Linked DNA regions of Schizosaccharomyces pombe. The protein of the gene in region 1 binds, or shares a complex with, the protein of each later gene. Each region holds a gene or a part of one and is shown on either strand. Other genes may lie near its edges.

The links.
Region 2: mrpl39 (region 1) and mrpl31 share a complex: the UniProt entries of both Schizosaccharomyces pombe proteins name them as parts of the mitochondrial large ribosomal subunit.
Region 3: mrpl39 (region 1) and SPOM_SPCC777.17C share a complex: the UniProt entries of both Schizosaccharomyces pombe proteins name them as parts of the mitochondrial large ribosomal subunit.

The regions. Positions count from the first base shown.
Region 1 is NC_003423.3:2,697,586-2,705,717, forward strand, and holds mrpl39 (mitochondrial ribosomal protein subunit bL33m), read right to left. Parts: upstream 4,167-8,132; 5' UTR 3,665-4,166; coding exon 3,642-3,664; exon of another isoform or gene 3,591-3,641; coding exon 3,489-3,590; exon of another isoform or gene 3,458-3,488; intron 3,431-3,457; coding exon 3,388-3,430; 3' UTR 3,150-3,387; downstream 1-3,149. Other genes in the region: MARK/PAR-1 kinase Kin1, read left to right, coding at 1-258; ATP-dependent RNA helicase Mak5, read right to left, coding at 704-1,349, 1,387-1,675, 1,727-2,582, 2,619-2,774; siderophore-Fe(3+) transporter Str1, read left to right, coding at 7,938-8,132. UniProt on the Schizosaccharomyces pombe protein: Component of the mitochondrial ribosome (mitoribosome), a dedicated translation machinery responsible for the synthesis of mitochondrial genome-encoded proteins, including at least some of the essential transmembrane subunits of the mitochondrial respiratory chain.
Region 2 is NC_003421.2:887,008-892,286, reverse strand, and holds mrpl31 (mitochondrial 54S ribosomal protein mL60), read right to left. Parts: upstream 3,702-5,279; 5' UTR 3,430-3,701; coding exon 3,082-3,429; 3' UTR 2,992-3,081; downstream 1-2,991. Other genes in the region: ubiquitin hydrolase Ubp1, read left to right, coding at 76-395, 621-2,850; oca8 (cytochrome b5), read left to right, coding at 3,900-4,047, 4,554-4,645, 4,732-4,881. UniProt on the Schizosaccharomyces pombe protein: Component of the mitochondrial ribosome (mitoribosome), a dedicated translation machinery responsible for the synthesis of mitochondrial genome-encoded proteins, including at least some of the essential transmembrane subunits of the mitochondrial respiratory chain.
Region 3 is NC_003421.2:1,615,155-1,621,023, forward strand, and holds SPOM_SPCC777.17C (mitochondrial ribosomal protein subunit L9), read right to left. Parts: upstream 3,905-5,869; coding exon 3,815-3,904; exon of another isoform or gene 3,766-3,814; coding exon 3,690-3,765; exon of another isoform or gene 3,560-3,689; coding exon 3,420-3,559; 3' UTR 2,992-3,419; downstream 1-2,991. Other genes in the region: NEDD8-conjugating enzyme Ubc12, read right to left, coding at 1-34, 282-429, 541-629, 712-807, 874-964; protein Gta3, read left to right, coding at 1,509-1,895; SPOM_SPCC777.12C (ER stress response thioredoxin family membrane disulfide oxidoreductase), read right to left, coding at 2,056-2,493, 2,614-2,892; retromer complex subunit Vps35, read left to right, coding at 4,402-5,869. UniProt on the Schizosaccharomyces pombe protein: Component of the mitochondrial ribosome (mitoribosome), a dedicated translation machinery responsible for the synthesis of mitochondrial genome-encoded proteins, including at least some of the essential transmembrane subunits of the mitochondrial respiratory chain.

The DNA of each region.
Region 1 (8,132 bases):
ACAAAATCGACTTCTGTTCATACACGACGTAAGCCTTCTTATGGCTCTAATTCTACCACTGATTCTTATGGATCGGTGCCGGACACAGTCCCATTAGATGACAATGGTGAGTCGCCTGCCTCTAACCTTGCCTTTGAAATATATATTGTGAAAGTCCCTATACTCTCTCTTCGTGGCGTTTCTTTTCATCGAATTAGTGGAAACTCATGGCAATATAAGACATTGGCTAGTCGTATTCTTAACGAATTAAAATTGTGATTGACTATTAAAGCTGCATACTTTTTTGAAATTATTTATTTCACTTCATTTTACGTTATGACCACCTAATTAGTGTTTATGGTTTTTAATACTAAGACCGCTTCAGGTTGAACTATATTAGACGTTGAGCTTTTTTAGAGACGAGAAACTAGACCTCTAATGCTCTTGCCTGTGAAAGCAAACAGATGCCAGAGGCATGTAAAGTCAACGTGTAAATGCACCCTCGTTCGCTTATGTTTAAGCCAGATACATAAGGCTACTATAATTAATGATATATCTTATAGTAATTCGTTCACTTATATAGTCTAATACGACGTTTTTGTTGATACTTATCTAGCAGTAATATTATTATTAACCCATAACTATAAAATACCAAAAAACCATTGTATAAAAACCTAAATGAAAACCCGTGCTATATGAAAAGTAGCTAAGTAAAAACCCTTTTTTACTTCTTCCTTTTTTGCAGAACTTCCAAAGCACTAATTGAGTCCATTCCGATAATATTATCATGAACTTCTTCGTTGGCTAATTTTTCAGCCATATTTACAAGACCGCTCGTCAAGTATCTACCAGAAAATCCTGTTCTTATTTTTTCGTGTAATAAGGGAGCAAGCTCTGAGCGAAGATGCGCTATCTGTTTCTTATTCTTACTAGATTCAGATTTTTTTGGCAAATCCGGATCCTCATCATCAGAACTTTCAACTCCCAATTCCTGAGCCATCGATTTTAACCAAGCTTCCTCACGTCCCACTCTTCCGTCTTTTCTAGTGAGATTTACAATTTTATGTGCTAAGACGACCCTCGTTTTTAAAATGTCCAATATTGACATATCCACAGGAAAATTAATAAAGGTCTCGATTTTCTTTTTCAACCGATAACATAGTCGTTTCAGCTGTGACAGTTCTTTAGGACCACACATTAAAATTGAAACGCCATCTTCGTTAGCGCGAGCGGTACGACCGCTTCTATGAACATACATATCAGCTGTATGAGGAACATGATAATGAATTACGTGCGTAACACTAGGAATATCAATACCACGGGCGGCCACATCAGTGCAAACAAGGACTCCTTTAGGATTATTTTTGAACCTTGTTAGTTAGTAACATATAAATAAAAATAACTTACTTTTCAAGAGATTGAAGTCTTTTTTTCTGATCTAATTGAGCATGTAGAGGATAGGATGGAACTTTTAACTCATTTAGAAAAGGAGTGATTCTCTTAATATCCTCAATACCATTGGCAAAAACCATGGTTTTTCCAGGATAACGCATGATCAAATAATAAAGATACAAGTCTTTTTCAGCTGGAGCACACTCTATGAGCCCTTCTAATACGCGGCTTGCCACTGCACTTTGAGGATTGGCATCCAAAAATTTGGGTTTGCCAAAGAAACGAACCTCCTTCAACATATTTTCTATGCAGTCGTTAGTAAGTGAGAAAGTAAAATATTTCTAATTGAACATACCCATCGGGCTGTTGTATTTCTCAGTTATATTGCCTTTCATATTCTTTTTAAGGCGTTGCTGTAAACCCTCATCGAAAGTTGCAGAAAAGATAAAAGTCTGACGCTGAGTATGCATGGGATTTCCTAAAATTTCAAGTAGTTTGCTCAATTCTTCAAAATGACTTTTTTGCAGTAAACGATCTGCTTCATCTAATACCAAACACTTGATTTTCTTAAAGTTTCCTGTAAGGTTGTTCTCGTTGATGACAGACCACAAGCGACCCGGAGTTGCAACCACAACGTGAGGGTGCTTGTTAAGAAGCCTCTGCTGCTTCTGTACTGCTAATCCACCGGTTATAGACATAACACGAATGTTAGGACTTGGCTTGATAAGTTCAAAGTGTTGGCAAATTTGATGAGCAAGTTCTCTGGTAGGAGCAACAACTAGAGCCTGTACGTATTTTGCATCTACATTGCGAAGACAATGCTCTAAAATGGGAATGCCAAAAGCTAAAGTTTTTCCTGAACCGGTATCTGCCTTTCCAATGATATCAAATCCAATAGAAGCTTCAGGAATTACCAATGATTGAATTGGCATCGGTTTTGAAAAGCCAGCTTTAGATAACGAGCCAAGCATTTCCGGTGAAAGTGAAAAGTGTGCCCAAGCAGAGACGTCCACACCATGAGAATTGTGTTCATCCTCTTCTTCTAATGTAGAGAATTCATTATAGTTTTTAGAAGTCACCTTTGATCCTAGTGAAGTCATTTCAATAGTAGGGGAAGTACGTTTTCCCTTTTTCTTTTTTTCACTAGCTTCTTTTTGATCTTTTTTTCGCTTTTCCGGCTTTTTATCTTTTTTTTCATGAACTTCTGGTAACTGTTTGTTAATAAATTAGATAATAAACAATTATACCTCATAAATTACTTCTTTCATAGCACCTTTTGGCTGATATTTGATATCCACACCTTCAATCTCTTCCAAGCCCATAAACCCATCGAAGTCGTCTAGGTGGTCAGGAAGCTTGACTTCCTTCCATTTAAGCTCGTCCAATGCAGCTTTCTTTGGCATCGTGATCAAAGCGTTGAAAAGTGTAGTAGTTTGCTCCACATAGAAAATGTAGGTAGACAAAAATTTACACTAAGAATTGGAACGAGGGAATAAAAATAATTGCATCGTATAAGCTAATAGAAAACAAATAATTAAATGTTACGAAGACATTAAACGACGATTGGTTTTAGCAATTCAATGCTTTGCCATGTTTTGCATAATTTCTAAATAGTACAACCATTTTGTATTAAAAATATTGCTTGAGAATTTTAGAATCGAATGATCTGAGCTACAGTGCTTACAAGAGTAGTAAACACAAACGATGTTACTACTATAGTTCTAATTCGGCTAGCAATTGGTACAGGTGAAAGGAACATTCTTATTACTTTGAAAATTTGACATCTCAGTCCTTCTCTTAAATAATAATAATAAAAATAGGAATTATAGATATGACAGAATAATATAAGGGTCTTTATGTTCACGCAGCTGTTTAGAATTATGTCGTATAAGATGTAGGTTGGGAAGCTAATACATAATTAATGCACATCCATAAAGTTTTTGAAGAAAAAAGGTAGATTGATCGGTCATAATTTAGCATTTCATTTTCAGACTATCATTGAAATGGAAGAAGTTTTTATTTCATTTTGGATTCTTCGAAAAGTACTCTTTTGTGAATTCTATGGGTTCATTCATTAGCTTCTTAAATGAGGCTTTAGAAAATCCATAATAACTTACTTGGGATCATATTTTATAAAAGCAAGCTTAGGAGCAGCTTTTGGACGTGAACGAACGTAGAAAAATCCAGTGCCAGCGGTGGACAATAATTTTACAAGCAAACTGAAAAATAAATGTTAAAAATGCGCATTAAATTAAGCATGTATGTCTTACCGAGCTTTATTCTTTTTAGCCATTCTGGATATACGTACAGTGCAAGCGGTAAGTTAAAGGTTTTGTAGTTACACCAGGGTTTGTGGGCGAGCTCTTTTAACTTGATGGATAACTTGCAGTCAGAAATGTAAAATTGAAAGTTTGCAATTCAAAGATATTGTTTTGAGTAATGAGAAAGCCTTTTTGCAATCCAATTTTTATTAAATTTGGTTGTGTACAATCGAGGCTTTTCAATAGGTTATTTTTTTGTTTTAGGTAGACTATAGAACTATTAGTAAAGATAAAAGGCTCATCAATGAATTACTTGTTTTGAAAAAAAGCATTTAGATTTGAAATTCTAATTGAGAAACATGCATGACGGCACTTAAGAACGAAAGACGAACAGTAAGAATAAAAAAATTAGAAAGAATTTTTGAATAAAAATAAAATAAAATAAAAAATAAAAAAATGTTAATAAGGAAAGTATAACAAATTGAGTCTGCTGCGTCTCTTCTCCTGATGTCTGCCAATTTAACAGAGAGGAATAATTAACAAACTATAAGTAATCTTATAAATAGAAGTTGCTGTTCTATTAACATTCGAAGAAAAAATATGAAGTGATGAACAACTCTTGAAAAATTCTTTTTTTTTATTACAATTATTATTGTTTTTTAATTATTGGCTGTAGATGGGTATTTAATTAAAGTCCAATCGCGTCTTTGCCAATTTATAATCTTATTTGTATTTCTACATTTTTTTTGGAAAGAATGATATTCAAATGAAAGAACCAATTTTCTTTCAGGAAAAATTCTTTTAGTTAAAATGACATGTACTAGATGAATTAGGACGTTAAGAATGAACTAATTGCAATAGCATAGTTTGCTAGCGTGAAAAAAAAACACAGATGGAAATTAGCGAGCCTAGTAAAGAAACATTTATGACGAGGTGGTTCTAAAAAGCCTTTCGTGTATATATATATATATATTCGGCTCTAAACAAACGCAAGCTTTAAGTATCATTGTAACTGTAAATTATTGGCAATACTGAAAGTATAAGACGATCCTCAAGTTGTAAGCAAACCTAATTCATTTGCTGTACCAAGACTAGGATGGATGAGTTACAAGTCACTTTAAGTGTTTATGGGTCCAAAGAGAATATAAAATGTGTTTTCCCAATTTTACAAGGGTTAGCCAAATAAAGAATGCAAATGAACAAATCGCATGAATTGCGGAAGCTAGTGACATTGTATGACGATCTGCCCGAAATCCCAAGTCCGTATCTCATCCGCGAAATTGAGACATATCACGATGCATACGGAGAAAATCTATACAACGCAAGTATAGCCGCACCCAAAGACGGATATAGAATAGACTGGAGAAGGCTACATCCCTCGGATATGGAGACTGAATGAAAGAATTGAGAGAGTATTTAAAGCTCATTAAGTGCAATGTTTACGATTGTTATTACGGTTCTACATGGTCAATAGTATGGGAAATTTTAAAATAAACATTTTTCCTGGTTGTGAAAATGATGGAGAGAAGCAACGAAAATATCTTTAACTGATGCTTTATATATGTAGAATAAAAATTGAGTTGGAAATTACAGCAGGGATAGTAAACAAGTCAAGGATATGTTACAGTTGTCATTAGAATAACAAAAGGTTTAATAACTATCTTTTAAAGAGGATTTGACATTGTACTAAGGGCTGAGACAACTCGCATTAAATAAGCAAAGGCTGAATTAAGTAAAAGAATATTCGCACTTAATAGAGGAATACTATGTTAAATATAGGATGGATTTGCTGTGTATATATAAAATTATTATCCTCTTATATATACATATAATTATCGTTAATTATTATTTATATTTTATTTTATTTTCTTATCTTTTCCTTGGTTTTTATGTATTTACTAGTAAATCTATAATAATCATTAACTTTAATAACTTTCTTCAACTGATCAATTTCCCAACCAAAATGCTTTGTTATTTGTTCTTTAAGCTTGCTATGTTCTTTAGCTGCGTGTCTATCATCTCTTCTTGTTTGGCTTGGCACGTGCCATTTTACCATTTCTTGCTTCCTCCTACCTTTTAGGCCTTAATATTAACCCCCTGGGTCATCTTTTGGCATATAGGGTAAAGGGGCCAAACTCACTATCCAAGATAAGTCTAAGTATGCAACTGTTAACATTTCAGTTAAGCACGTTGTCTCCTATAAGCAAGTATAACGTAGTTTAAAAAGAACGTTAAGTTAATTAGTCTGCACATAATACAAACATGGGATAGTGAGACAATATCGTCTGTTAGAGTAAATTTTCCTTTCTTGAAAGATTTTCCATTTTTGTGCATGAAAAGGCGTAATTTAAGATCATGCGATGGGTAGTACAGGTCAAATTGATAAACCGACTTTTACCAGTTTGTGCTATCAGATCTCACACTGTGCTCTCCTTCCGTCGCATTATTTTGTTATTTTTTGAGCTGAGTATTCCCGTAATCCAAGGACAAGCGTCAGGGTGTGTACGATAGTTGATCTGTTTAATAAAGAAACATATTATTAGAAAAATTAGGAATCATCAGGAAATCAACAAGTTCCAAAATGGGTCTTTGCTCCCCAAGTGTTCCCTTATACACTCGATCAAGAGATGAAAGTATCGGGTCAGTACCCGTGCTTCTTTGGCTTGGGCTTACTAAGTAGCTATAGTAAAACCTGGTGACATTTCTGTTTTTGTTACACACTGTCAGTTTTATCCTATAACCCTATACTACACTGTACCCCCGCCGTGTGATCGGCGCACAGTCACGAAAATTGCAGTCATAGTTACAGTTGGAAAAAATAGTGCATGGGCCACAAAAAGTAAGTTAAGTATTAGAAGAACAATAAGAATAGTATAGACTCTTCATGAATACAATGTTCTCTATGCAATAGACATATTATTTCATTTCGTAGGTAAAATAACATTTGACGTATGTAAGGTTAGCGTGCTCAATAAAGTAACTAGCTATCAGATAAAAATTTCGTCTGATAATTTTTATCCTTGACATCAGTCTATGTGCGAGGCACAAGACACAGGCAGTTGCGAAGTCGGATTAATTCAAACATATAGGGTTAGTGGCATTTCAAGTTGTAGTGTGAGGTACAAATGCTACTAGGTGATACTTCCGATATATTGAATGGAAACGTGGGGTCAACCAAATCTCCTCAAGTGGTTGCCTTCATGAACGAACGACAAGCGGAAGAACGGGGAAAAATGGGATGATCGCTTCCACTTTTCATCAAAGATTCGACGTTATAACGTTACTTCAGGAGCTTAGCAGCTTGTGAAAACTGGACAGACCCACTGTATGATCGTGTCAATGTTCTTGGCTGAACAAAAATTACGCAATTTTTCCATCAATAAAGACAGTCCCGTACAAGGAAGAATATTTAAATATGAGACGCTGCCGACCATCAGATAATTCTTATTTTTCACTCTATTCTTACTTAGTTAAGTTGCCTTCACCTCCATCTTATCTGAGTGAAGTTAAGTAAACTCAGCAAACATAAGTGGATTGAACATCCAAGGCAAAGTCTAATAGCTTTCATCGAAAGAAAAGTGAAAAGAGAAGAACAGAATTTAAATAGACTTCAACCTATTCTGAATCTTTGTTTTCCTTTCCTTCCTTCTTTCCTTGGATCAGCATTCTGTGATTTGGTGCTTGAATCCTTTGATTAAATTTCAAAAAAATATCCTCCACCAAAAAAAAAGTAGTTTACCAACAATTATTTTAACTTTACGTTTTAGCGGAAAATAAGCGGCGTGCCCACATTGATCGTATCTGGATACTTATCAGATCATCAGATATCGACTAAATTTTATTTTCAAAAGATTTTCATTATATTTCCGCTGACATTGTCGCAAGTGTGTGCCATTTCTCTTTGATATATCGGTCTGCCTTTGTTAACTTTGCTTTATAAAAGCGTGCGAGTGTATACTATTTTCTTCCTCCCCCTTGTCCACTCTCATTATTGAAGAGAAAATTGTTAAGAAATTGAAGTATCAGTCATTGTTCAATACTGCTGTGTCTTCTATTTTGAACCTTTTTAATTTCGAGCGTCTTTTCTTTTCGTTTTTCTGTTTGTTTCGTCCTTTGTTTTTGGTTGCCCTTTTGTTAAAGATAACCGATCCATACTAATCATCATCTTAATTCTCTTTGGTTTCTTTTAAAATTTCCATTGTAACATCCCTGGCTGATCTAGAAAAGAAATCAATACTATTCCCTCCTAATCCTTTTTTAATTTAGCTATTTTAAATTTCTGCATTTCTATATTGTTTTCCCAAGATGCGTCTGAAATCATTCTCCACAACTCTCGATACATTGCGAAGAAGATTTAACGATTCTAGTAGCGAAGAGGATAAATTGGAAAAAAACATTCAGGATGAAACTTCCATAAAGGAAGTTTCATTGCAAGATGCAAAGCAATCCGATGAAAAGGGTGTTGAGGAAAAGGTTTTTAATGACGAGAGCTTTTCTATC
Region 2 (5,279 bases), on another chromosome or scaffold:
CCCAATTTTTTGCAATTTATAAGAGTGGAACTTGAAGAAACAAAAATATAACGAATAAATGACCATGTTTTGAGAATGGCATCAACTGCTACTCAAAACGCAAGCACTCGATATTCCCAAATTTGGATCGACCAACCTGCTTCATTGCCGTTCCAAGATTCGATAAATTTAATTAAAGAGGATAAAGAAAAATGGAAAAAAGAAAAAACTGCCTTTTTAATTGACTATGACTGGTTCGAAGGATACGTTGACTTTATATATGGAGAAGGCGACAACCCTGGTCCTATAACTCAATGGAGGCTGCTGGATGAAAAAAACGAGCTTAAACATTCTTTGGAGGAATCTATTGATTATAGCATTGTCTCTGCTTCGCTATGGCATATGCTTGTTGAGTGGTATGAATTTTCTTTAAAGGTCTCTACAGTACTTGTAAAAGGCATTATTAATTAAATTCAAAACTCATATTCATATATGTTTTGAAAGCATTGTGTCTTAGTTTTGAATATTTCATTAATTTATGTAGTTTGCATTACTTCCCACGGTGCCTAAATATATAGGTTCCCTTGGATTTTGAGGCCTCTTTTCAATTCCCATTATGTTATTAGCTAACTCAAATATAGGTTTGGATTAGAAGGTCTAGCTATAGAGCGAAAAGTTCTTTTGGTAGGATTGGCTGCTGAGCAAAAGCCATTCGTAGATATCTATCCTATAAACTTTACTTTGCACGTTTTATTCGACCCAATAAACGGTGAAAACACGAGCTATTCACCATTATACCAAATTGATGAACCATATCATAGTGATGAACCCTATGCGTTTAGCTTTTCCCGAAGTGATACCCTTCGGTCTTTGTACAAACAAGTGATGGAAGCTTTCCAAATATCTGATGGTACTTCTTTCCGTTTATGGTATCTAAACAAAAGTAATCTATCTTCTAGGTTTGTAAGTTTGTCGGAGTTCAATGATCAACCTGCGATTGCTTTGCTTTCCGAGTATGCTGTTTGCATGACTATTTTCGAAATAGATATTGCCGATGGAAGCTTATTGCTCGAGTTTCAACATCCTAACGGAGAGTGGTTATCTGACTCTATAACCAAAGAGCAAAATTTAACAATAAATAAAGAAATCGGACTCTGCGGTCTTTACAATTTGGGTAATTCATGCTATATGAATTCTGCCCTTCAATGTATGATACATACACACGAACTTACAAAATATTTTCTTAGTGATTCTTATGAAAAGGATATTAATTACAACAATCCGTTGGGAATGATGGGGAAAGTTGCCTTGTCTTATGCTAGTCTACTGAAGATGATCCATCATACTGCTGATATGCACTCGGTGTCACCTAGTTCTTTCAAATTTATAATTGGCGAGTTTAATACCTATTTTTCTGGATATCGTCAGCAAGATTCTCAGGAATTCATCGCCTTTTTCTTAGACGGGTTACACGAAGATTTGAATCGAATTCAGATAAAACCATACTTTGAAAGGCCAGATTTATTTGACGAACACCCATTACATGTTCAGAGAGTTGCAAATCAATGTTGGGATATTCATACAAAACGAAATGATTCCATAATTGTTCAGTTGTTTCAAGGAATGTATAAAAGCACCTTAGAGTGCTCCATATGCTATCAAAAATCAACTGCGTTTGATCCGTTCATGTATCTTACTCTTCCACTTCCTACTAGTGCAAAATGGCGACACAAGGTAGTGTACGTCCCGCCATTTGGCACACAGAGTCCTGTGGAATTGTATTTGGAGCTTCTCATGGAAAGTACGGTAATCCAAATGAAGTTTCAAGCTACGGAAAAGCTTCAAAAGATGGGACTCGAATGCGGGGAACTTACTGCTTGTGACATTTATCGGGGAAAGGTGTACAAGGTATTGAAAAATAAAGACAAAATATCTAAAAAAATTCATAAATGGGATCATGTTGTACTTTATGGAAGTACTGCAAACGGATTAACAATACCTATCGTCCATGGATGTAAACGACCGGCAATGCCCGGATCATACCAGTCTAACGATGTGTTTGGATTTCCTTTACAACTCAACGTCCGTTCTCGAAATGTACTCACAAATGATTTAGTGAAAGAGATTGTCGAACTGTATCGAGTTTATGCAGGCATAGACGTAGCAATCGGAACTCTTCAGCTTGGACTGAAGCGGATGGAAAGTAAGGCCGGGAAATGGGAATGCATAAAGGAAATTGAGGTTAAAAGGTTTGAAATAGTGGAGGAAGAGGAAATCGTTATTGACGACAAAACTGTAATTATGTGTCTATGGAACGATCAACAATATGAAAAGTTATTTTATAACTGCGAATGGATATTTGAAAAAATTCAGTTCCATATGGAGTCCATCACCCTTGAAGATTGTTTACTGGAGTTTTCCAAGCCAGAGCAGCTTGATTTACAGGATTCCTGGTATTGTCCTGGGTGTAAGGCATTTCGACCGGCAACAAAACGGCTGGAGATCTGGCGATTGCCAAAAATACTAGTCATTCATTTAAATCGATTCAGCGGCCACGGTGGAGATTTGCGGAGAAGACGTAAACGAAGGGATTTAGTAGTTTATCCAGTATTTGATCTCAATTTGAAGCAATTTTTGAGTCCATTTATAAAAGATCATGAGTGGCTATCGTCACAGAAATCGATGCTTTACGATTTGTATGCAGTGGACAATCATCACGGGTTTATGAGTAATGGTCATTATACTGCCTATGCAAGAGATGCATCGAGCCAAACATTCTTTAAGTTTGATGATACAGCTATTTGTGAAATAGATCCGGAGGATATTGTCACATCGTCTGCTTATGTATTGTTTTACAGAGCAAAGAATTAAAGAGACGTATAATAGAGGTGATATGAACTTTACTCTAACTAAAGGCTAATGTCGTTTGTTTGAATATGTATGAAACTGGAAATTGAATATGAACGAAGACGAGGAAGAGGTGGGAGTTTTTGCAATAAAAAAGTAATAAAATAAGCTATTAAAATAATCCATTACATTTATTATTCATAGAGCATTAAAATTATGAAAAAAAAAGTAGTAAACTTTTGCAACCAGACGTTTTTAAAAGCCAGTGGGATTAACACGATTAGTACTACGGGTCCATTTTGGTGATTTATGGACACCCTTGCGGAAGCCTTGGAGACCGGCACCTTGAGTCTTCCTGGTAAACATAGTGTATTTATCCTTTGGTGACATTTGGGATTCAGGCTGATGGTTAGCAACGAAACTTTCAATTCGTTTGCACGATTGATTTTTCTCTTGCAACGCCGTGCGCAAAACATCTACCACCTCATCGACGGCACGAAGTCGTTGACGGTGACGATATTTTCTTCGCTGGGATAATCTCCAAGGTACTTTATGAACAAGACCGCCAAAGCGAGCCAAAGTCGAGTTAAATGCACCCAGCATATTTTTCGTATAAAATCAAAAGGAGAGGAAGAAGGTTGGATCAAAAAGAGCAAATAAAAATTTTTTGTTAAGTTTTTGGGTGATAGACAAATTCTGAGTAGTTGATGGTTTGTCACAAAGTAGTTTACGGCTCCAACGAAACAGCAAAGATGTGAACAAAAATTAACTTGATTAGCGTCCTAAATTGATTTAAATATTATATTGCCATTCAAATATAAACACTACACCTCCAAAATGGTGGAGTTGGTTAACTGAAGAATGATATAGGTTTTGGGTAAGTTCATATCCTTGGGTGTACCTTCCAACTCGAATCCACGTGACCACCTGCCAGTAAGAATCGGCTCATTTCTACTTCCCACCTGCTAGATAAATCGCGATAGGGCATTTGCAACCAACATCTCGAGAGTAATTAGCTCCTGGGTTATAACCGTTAAATACCACCTTTAAGGAAGAATAAGCAGAACTTGATCATGGCAGAGAAGACAATTACTGTTGAAGAAGTGTTAAAACATAACACTCGTGATGATTTGTACATTGTTGTAAAAGACAAGGTGTATGATATTTCCAAGTTCCTTGACGCTCACCCTGGTGGTGAAGAGGTTCTTGTTGATTTGGCCGGTAAGTAAATTTTTAGGGGTACGCGATAATGGAGGTCTTGAGGAAGATTGGTTGTAATGCATAAAAATTGGTCGCGATTGTGTGGAGTCGTAGAAATCGAAGTTTCAGACAACTAGCGTTACAAAACTTTGAATTTCACGAGAGTTTAGGTGTCGCATATACACATGTTCTTTAATTTGAAAGATTCAGGACGAATCTTTGCCGTAGGAACGTACAAAAATAGATGCGATATCCTGAATAAATACGATGTTTAATGCGACATTGTCATTGAAGGTGAATTGTTAAGTACAGTCTATATGTTCCAAGATTGATCGCTCTCTACTCGATGTTTTGTATTTCCAGTACTCTGAATACACTGAAATACATAATTTTGGAAAGATTGATTGACGATATCGCTTCGATTCTTCACATACGGCTTTTGGATTGGCTATACAAAGTTTCTGCCTTTCTCTACCATCGCTAGGGGCTTTTTTTTGTTCGTTTCTGTGATTATTAACTTGTTTTAGGTCGTGATGCTAGCGGTCCTTTCGAGGATGTTGGTCACTCTGAGGATGCTCAGGAGTTGCTCGAAAAATTTTACATTGGAAACTTGCTCAGAGTATGTCATTTATTTTTTCTCTTCGTTCGCCATAGGCTCGTTAAAATTTTTGTAAAAATTTGCTTCGACACTCTAACATATTTTAGACTGAAGATGGCCCTCAGCTTCCCACAACTGGTGCTGCCGCTGGTGGAAGTGGATATGATTCTTCTCAACCAGTTAAGCCTGCTATGTGGCTCTTTGTCCTTGTGATGGTTGTTGCTTACTTTGCTTTTCGCAAGTATGTCCTCAAATAGACTGCTTAAATTCCCAGTCTTACTTTTGCGCTCAAAGAAATTTAAAGGCCTTCTTTCGTTTTGGGTCGTTTAAATGTGCTGAATATGGTTTTGTGATTTTGAGCTAGCAAGTTTCGTTTTTTGTTGTTGTTAGATATCTACTTTAGCTTTCTTTACCTGTTCGTACTTAGGATATTTACGGATTCAATGTATTCCTTTAACACGCTTTGGTTTGGCTCTTAATGTGAATGGCATATTAATATTAATAGAGACCTTTGATTTGTCTGGACGTAAATTTAATTCACAACGGTCTTATGCTTGCTTTGCGTAACTGTATAATTGATAATACTTAGTGTTATATTTTTTGTATTTTCGTTGTTTGTTCTCTCATAAAAAAAAGTTTTATAGTTTCTTCTATT
Region 3 (5,869 bases), on another chromosome or scaffold:
CCTTGAGGGTCTTTATGCAAATCAGCCGCCGCCTCTAAAAGATATCGTTTGTTAGTATAGTTAAATAAATCTAGAAAATTTGTTAAGGAGCAAACCAGATTTCTTATATTAAAATTGCTTATCATAATCATTGTCCTCAGTAAAGAACCTTATAAATCCCATAATAAAGGATCGTAGAAAAAATGAGTATCAAATGATAGTTAAGAGATGAATAATCATTTCCTTGTAATGCAATAACAAGAAATAGTTCATTGCCCCCCAAAAAATTGTAATTAACCTACCTTTGTTGAGTGGATCTTCTGCGTTTGGTGACAAGAATAAAAATTGCAATCCAACCAAAATAGAATTCAAATTCAACACTGGATTCCAATCCTGACGCAGAATATTGAGGCATACGTTTCCCTCAATATCGATATTTGGGTGATAGATCTAACAGTAGGTCAGAACGAAAGGGTTCAAAACATGTTATAATGGTTATTTTCTTAAATGCAAAAAATATACCATAAGCTGCAACTCTAATTTAGAGCATGACTGACATACTTTGTTTAGACATTTAACCTTAGGAGGATCATGAGGATAATTATCGTCGATTTGGATTCGAAATTTAAATTTCCCACCCTTGTAATACCCTTTTCATGTTAATCAAAATAAAAAATAATAGTCTCAAAAAGTCTACACCAAATATTCTTTCATGCGGAATCACAAACTTACCTTCGTCAGGCCGGATTTCTAAATGTAGCACGTTCAATTTTATAGGATCTGGCCAGCTTGTAGACATCGTAGATGGGATTTCTAAATCTGTAACGTCTAAATTCATCGAAAATGGTTAGTTTCGAGTAAATCGCGAAAAGTTATCAACATGATGAGTCGCACCTTTTTGGATTCGGATTTGTGCTGGACTAATCCCTGACGCATTTTTCTCTTTTTGAGCTTCTTTCTTTTTTAATTCCCAAATTTTTCTCATGATTTACGCGATTCTTGTAATAGGCAGAAGGATGGAAAATGCGCTTACAATTTTGGGTATAAACAATACTCTCATACATCATTAAAAAATAGCGAAACATGTAGACACCTAAAGTGCTAATAATGTGGCATTTTATATTACCTTATTCAATTGCAATAACCAATTTTAATAAAGTCGTTACTCTACGCAAGCATTCAACAATATTACGTACTGGAACACTGCTATGTAAAGTTATATACAGACATCGCAGGATGTCGTAAATTTAGGGAATGGGAAACGGTTATCATAGTAATGAAAAATAGTTCTCCTAATTAGAGAAGCTGATTATATTGACTTTACTTACCGAATGATTTAATATATTCCTTTACTATTAATTCTAAAAAAACCCAGACTTACAACCTAGTCGTTAAATTGTAGGAACCGACTACAACTTCGACAGCTGTTTCAAAGCATTTGAAAAACTTACAAAGTGTTTAAGATTGAATCTTTTTTTTAACCTGTACTATATTTTTCTCTTGTAATTAGCTCTATTTTCCTTTTCACTATGCCATTTTTGAAACCTTCAAAGGTTTCACTTAAACGAATTCTCCAAGGAAATCCACCCAAACCAATTGGCTTAACTGAGTATGGTCATTTGCTGAGGCTCGTTGGTCTTCGTGAAGCAGACTCTAAGGAAGAGAATGAAAGAACAATTCTAAAACTCAACGAAGGAATCATTCAAATGCATGCAATTGAGAGACTTGATACATCCTTCATTAAGGAACCATTTCGTACTTTGAATCATGCTATTAATGCGGAATCTCTACCATCATTACCCGATCAAGAGCCGTGGAATGTATTTCAGAATGCTAAGAAAAGAGACGGGCAGTACTTTGCCGTTTATTCTAAGCTAAAAGATGATTCCTCTAATGAATCTCCAAACAAGCAATAAGGTTGGAAAATCTACGTTCTGTTAAAAAAGGAAGGAATGAAACAAATAGGGTATAAACCTTTACTAGAGCGGTGCCTTACATATAGAACATGTAACAAACTCTCGTATAATTATTCAAAAAATTGATATTATCAAAAACTAATAGTATTTTCCACATAGCTTATTTCTTTTTTGCAGCGGCGGCGGCAGCAGCAGCGGCTTGTTTTTGTTTCGCTTTTTTGCTAGAGCGATACATTATGTAGGCAGAGATCCCAAAAATAGCTACATTCATTCCAAGAGGGGTGTATTTTTGACTTAAGTGTCCGTAAAGTGCAAGTGCCTTTCCAAAGACCCAGTAAAAGGACTTCAAGGGCCCGTTAACAGAGAAAAAACCTTGCTCTTTTTTCATACTTTTGAACCCGTCTTTTTCATATAAGGCGATTGCCTTGTTCTTGGGAAGAACCTGAGGAGAAACACGGTAGAAATTTTGATTATCGATGAAATAATAAGAAGGAATCCGAGAAATGAGTAAGCGTACAGAAAGTTCGAGGCTACTGCTCAAGTAAACACGGGCAAAGTGGACATCCGGATATTTTTCATGAAAAGCATGCGAAAGGTCCTAAAATTAGTTAGTACAGATTCAATTAAATCCAAAGATGGTTTAATTTATTTCCGAGGCTCAAAATTCAATCTCATAACAAGAGCATTTGGACAACATTAAATGCAGTCCATTACTTACGTTAAAAAGTAGCTCTCCAAGAGTACAGTTAGCACAGCCTTCAGCAGTCAACTGCACAAACCATTTGCCAGATTCAATGACATGATCCCAGGTTTTATCTGAAAGTTCGACAACGGTGGAATTGTCAAAAGCGCAAACTGGGTCTGTGTTGTATTTTTCATACGGTACCTGTAAGACATTCATAGCTTCAATGGCAGCTGATTCATCTCCTTCACAACTATAAGCTGCCACGAAATGCAGAAGTTCAAATAGAAACACAAAAAACAAATTAATTTTCATTGAAGCTGAATAAGGTAATGAAAAATATTTTCTCTGCTGCTTTAGCAATAATAAACACGAGTTATGAGATGATTTTGGATCCAACTCAAAATAGTTGGTAGCTGTGAGAAGAAGATGCTAGACGAGCTGATAGAGCAGAAACGATGGCCGCACAATACGCAGTAAACGTTTACCATTCAAGGATTTAAATTTCATATTAACTATACTATTATAGGAAAATCCAAAGCTTGTTATTGTAATTGAGAAACACTAAGCATCAACCCTGATAAAATATTACAATAACGATAATATTCAAACTCAGAAAGAGACTACGCTTCTAGTGAAGCCTTTTAATTAAATTTTTTATATTTTTTTATAGAAAAAAGTCAATGCTGAATACTTCGTAATTCTTGTTAGTAATGTAACAATATCTCGTAATGAAAAGCTAGAATTGTTCAAATTGCAGCTAGCTAAGCCTTAATTAATCCACTAATAAACTCAATAAATTCTTTTTATGTTGATTGAACTAAGTGAGAGTTTAGGTATTATTATTCCTTCGTTTTCGTCGAGAATTCGGACCCTTGTAACAAATGTGCTTTCATAGATTTTAAGGCATCAACAGCAATCGCTTGCTTCTTGGGGAAAAGTGTATTTCGATAATATCCCCTTGTCACTGAGACGACATCACCTTTTGTAAAGTTAGTAGTTTCCTACGACGGCTAAAAGAATGCATTTCTTATAATAAAAGGATGTAACCACTACCTCCCTATTATAGGTTTGAAATGAAGAACATTATAATTATGAAAAATTTAGCATACCTTGCCTTCCTAGCTTTGAAACTTCGTTGTTTAACAGTTTTACCAAAAACGGTTTTGGCTGTTTACGAAGAAACCTCTAAATAACTGTGTAAGTAACGGTGATTTTTTTTATAAGCTTGACATACCAGTTGCCCATAAATTCTTTGAAAAGGTGAGACTGCTAGTTCAAGGGAATTGAAGCGAAAAAATCGAGTTGTCGGTTTCATAATACTCATTTCAATTAAATGGGTGCACCAAGAAATCCGTCAAGAAAGTTTTTACAAAATAAAAAGAAAAGCAGCTTAAATAAATTCTCAATTGAATGTAGAATTCAAAAACCGTTAGTTTAGAGGTCTAAGACGAATCTTGTAGTGTGAACCTTTCCGATGATTAGATTTATAGTTTCTTTTAATTGTTATCAAAATAATATACTATTTAGGCGCGATATTTGTGATATGAAAATGGTCAATTTGAAATTGAGCGAAGCGCGATTCCAAGCTGTGCTGCGCGCAATACTTCAAGATCTACCAATATATCTCAACCAGTACCACCAACTTTATTTGTAGACATTTCAACGAACCCATTATAAAAAACATTGCTAATATTAGTGAATTAAAAAGAATAACAAACATCCTGTTTTTCTGTTCGAAAGTTGGGCCGCTAGTAAAACTATACTGAAATTACAATTACGTTGGTTAAATTGAAACACTTGGAAGTGGATATTTAGGGCTCTATGAACGGAATTAATACTGCTAACGAAGAAATTACAAGGAGCTTGGAAGAGTCCTTAAATATTTGCAAGCAGTCTAGTAGGCTGATGCAAAGAAACTTGCAGACAGGACGATTGATGGATGCATTTCGTAATTGCAGTATTAGTCTCGTGGAAATGAGAAATTCTGCACTTACTCCAAAACAATACTATGAGCTGTATATGTTTAATATGGAAAGCTTGCGTTTACTTGGGGGCACATTGCTGGAAACGCATCTGAACGGTACTCACAACCTAATGGACCTTTATGAACTTGTTCAATATGCCGGTAGTATTGTCCCTCGTTTATATCTCATGATAACCGTTGGAAGCGCTTATTTGGAAACGCCTAATGCCCTTGTACGTGAAATTATGAATGATTTGTTAGATATGTGTAGAGGTGTTCAGCATCCGTTAAGAGGTCTTTTTTTGCGCCATTATCTGCTTACCCAAACAAGAAAAGGATTACCTTTGGGATCAGAAGATGAGGAAGATGCATCTCGCAAAGGAACCGTACTCGATTCTGTTAAATTTTTAGTTATCAACTTTACGGAAATGAATAAATTGTGGGTTAGAATCCAACATCTTGGTCCAATTAAAGAATTTTCCAAACGTACCCAAGAAAGGAATGAGCTAAAGGTTCTTGTTGGGCTGAATTTGGTTCGATTATCTCAGTTAAACCTCGATATAGACACTTACCGAGATCATGTCCTTCCTGCCATAATCGAGCAAATTATTGAATGTCGGGACTCACTTGCACAAGAGTATCTTGTTGAAGTAATTTGTCAGGCGTTTTCTGATAATATGCATCTTCAAACCCTCGATACATATTTCGGTACGGTCATAAAGCTTTCTCCAAGCGTAAACGTAACCCAACTTGTGGTCGCTATGTTGAATCGCCTTACGGACTATGTCCAACGTGAATATGAATCTGATTCTTCTAATGAAGATGAATCTGAGACTGTAACCGAAAAATTAGGAGACATAAAAATTAATGAGGAAGTACAGCAAAAAGACGAGCAAGAATGCCCTGGAGATAAAGTAATTCCTCCAGAATATGCTATTCAAGAGGTTTTATGGTCACATGTTGTTGAAGTTATTCAATCTCGTAGTGGTCTTCCACTAGATTGTATTGTTTCTATACTTTCTAGCATCCTCAATTTTTTCTTGCGGTGTTACCCTTATAAACCCCAGTATGCAGATCGTGTTTTTCAATACATTAACGAACATATCATTAACCAGCCCTCCTTACGAAGCGCTCTTCATGAACGTCCATTACAAAAAAGTCTTTGCGCAATTTTATTGCTTCCTCTTACATATTTCCCTTCCTTTTCTTACTGTCTTGAGCTACAGAATTTCCTTCCTGTATTTAATGCGCAAGATCCAAACCTTCGTTACGATATTGCAAGAATGATTGTTCAAAAGATAATTGAAAAAGGCCACTCATTAAGTG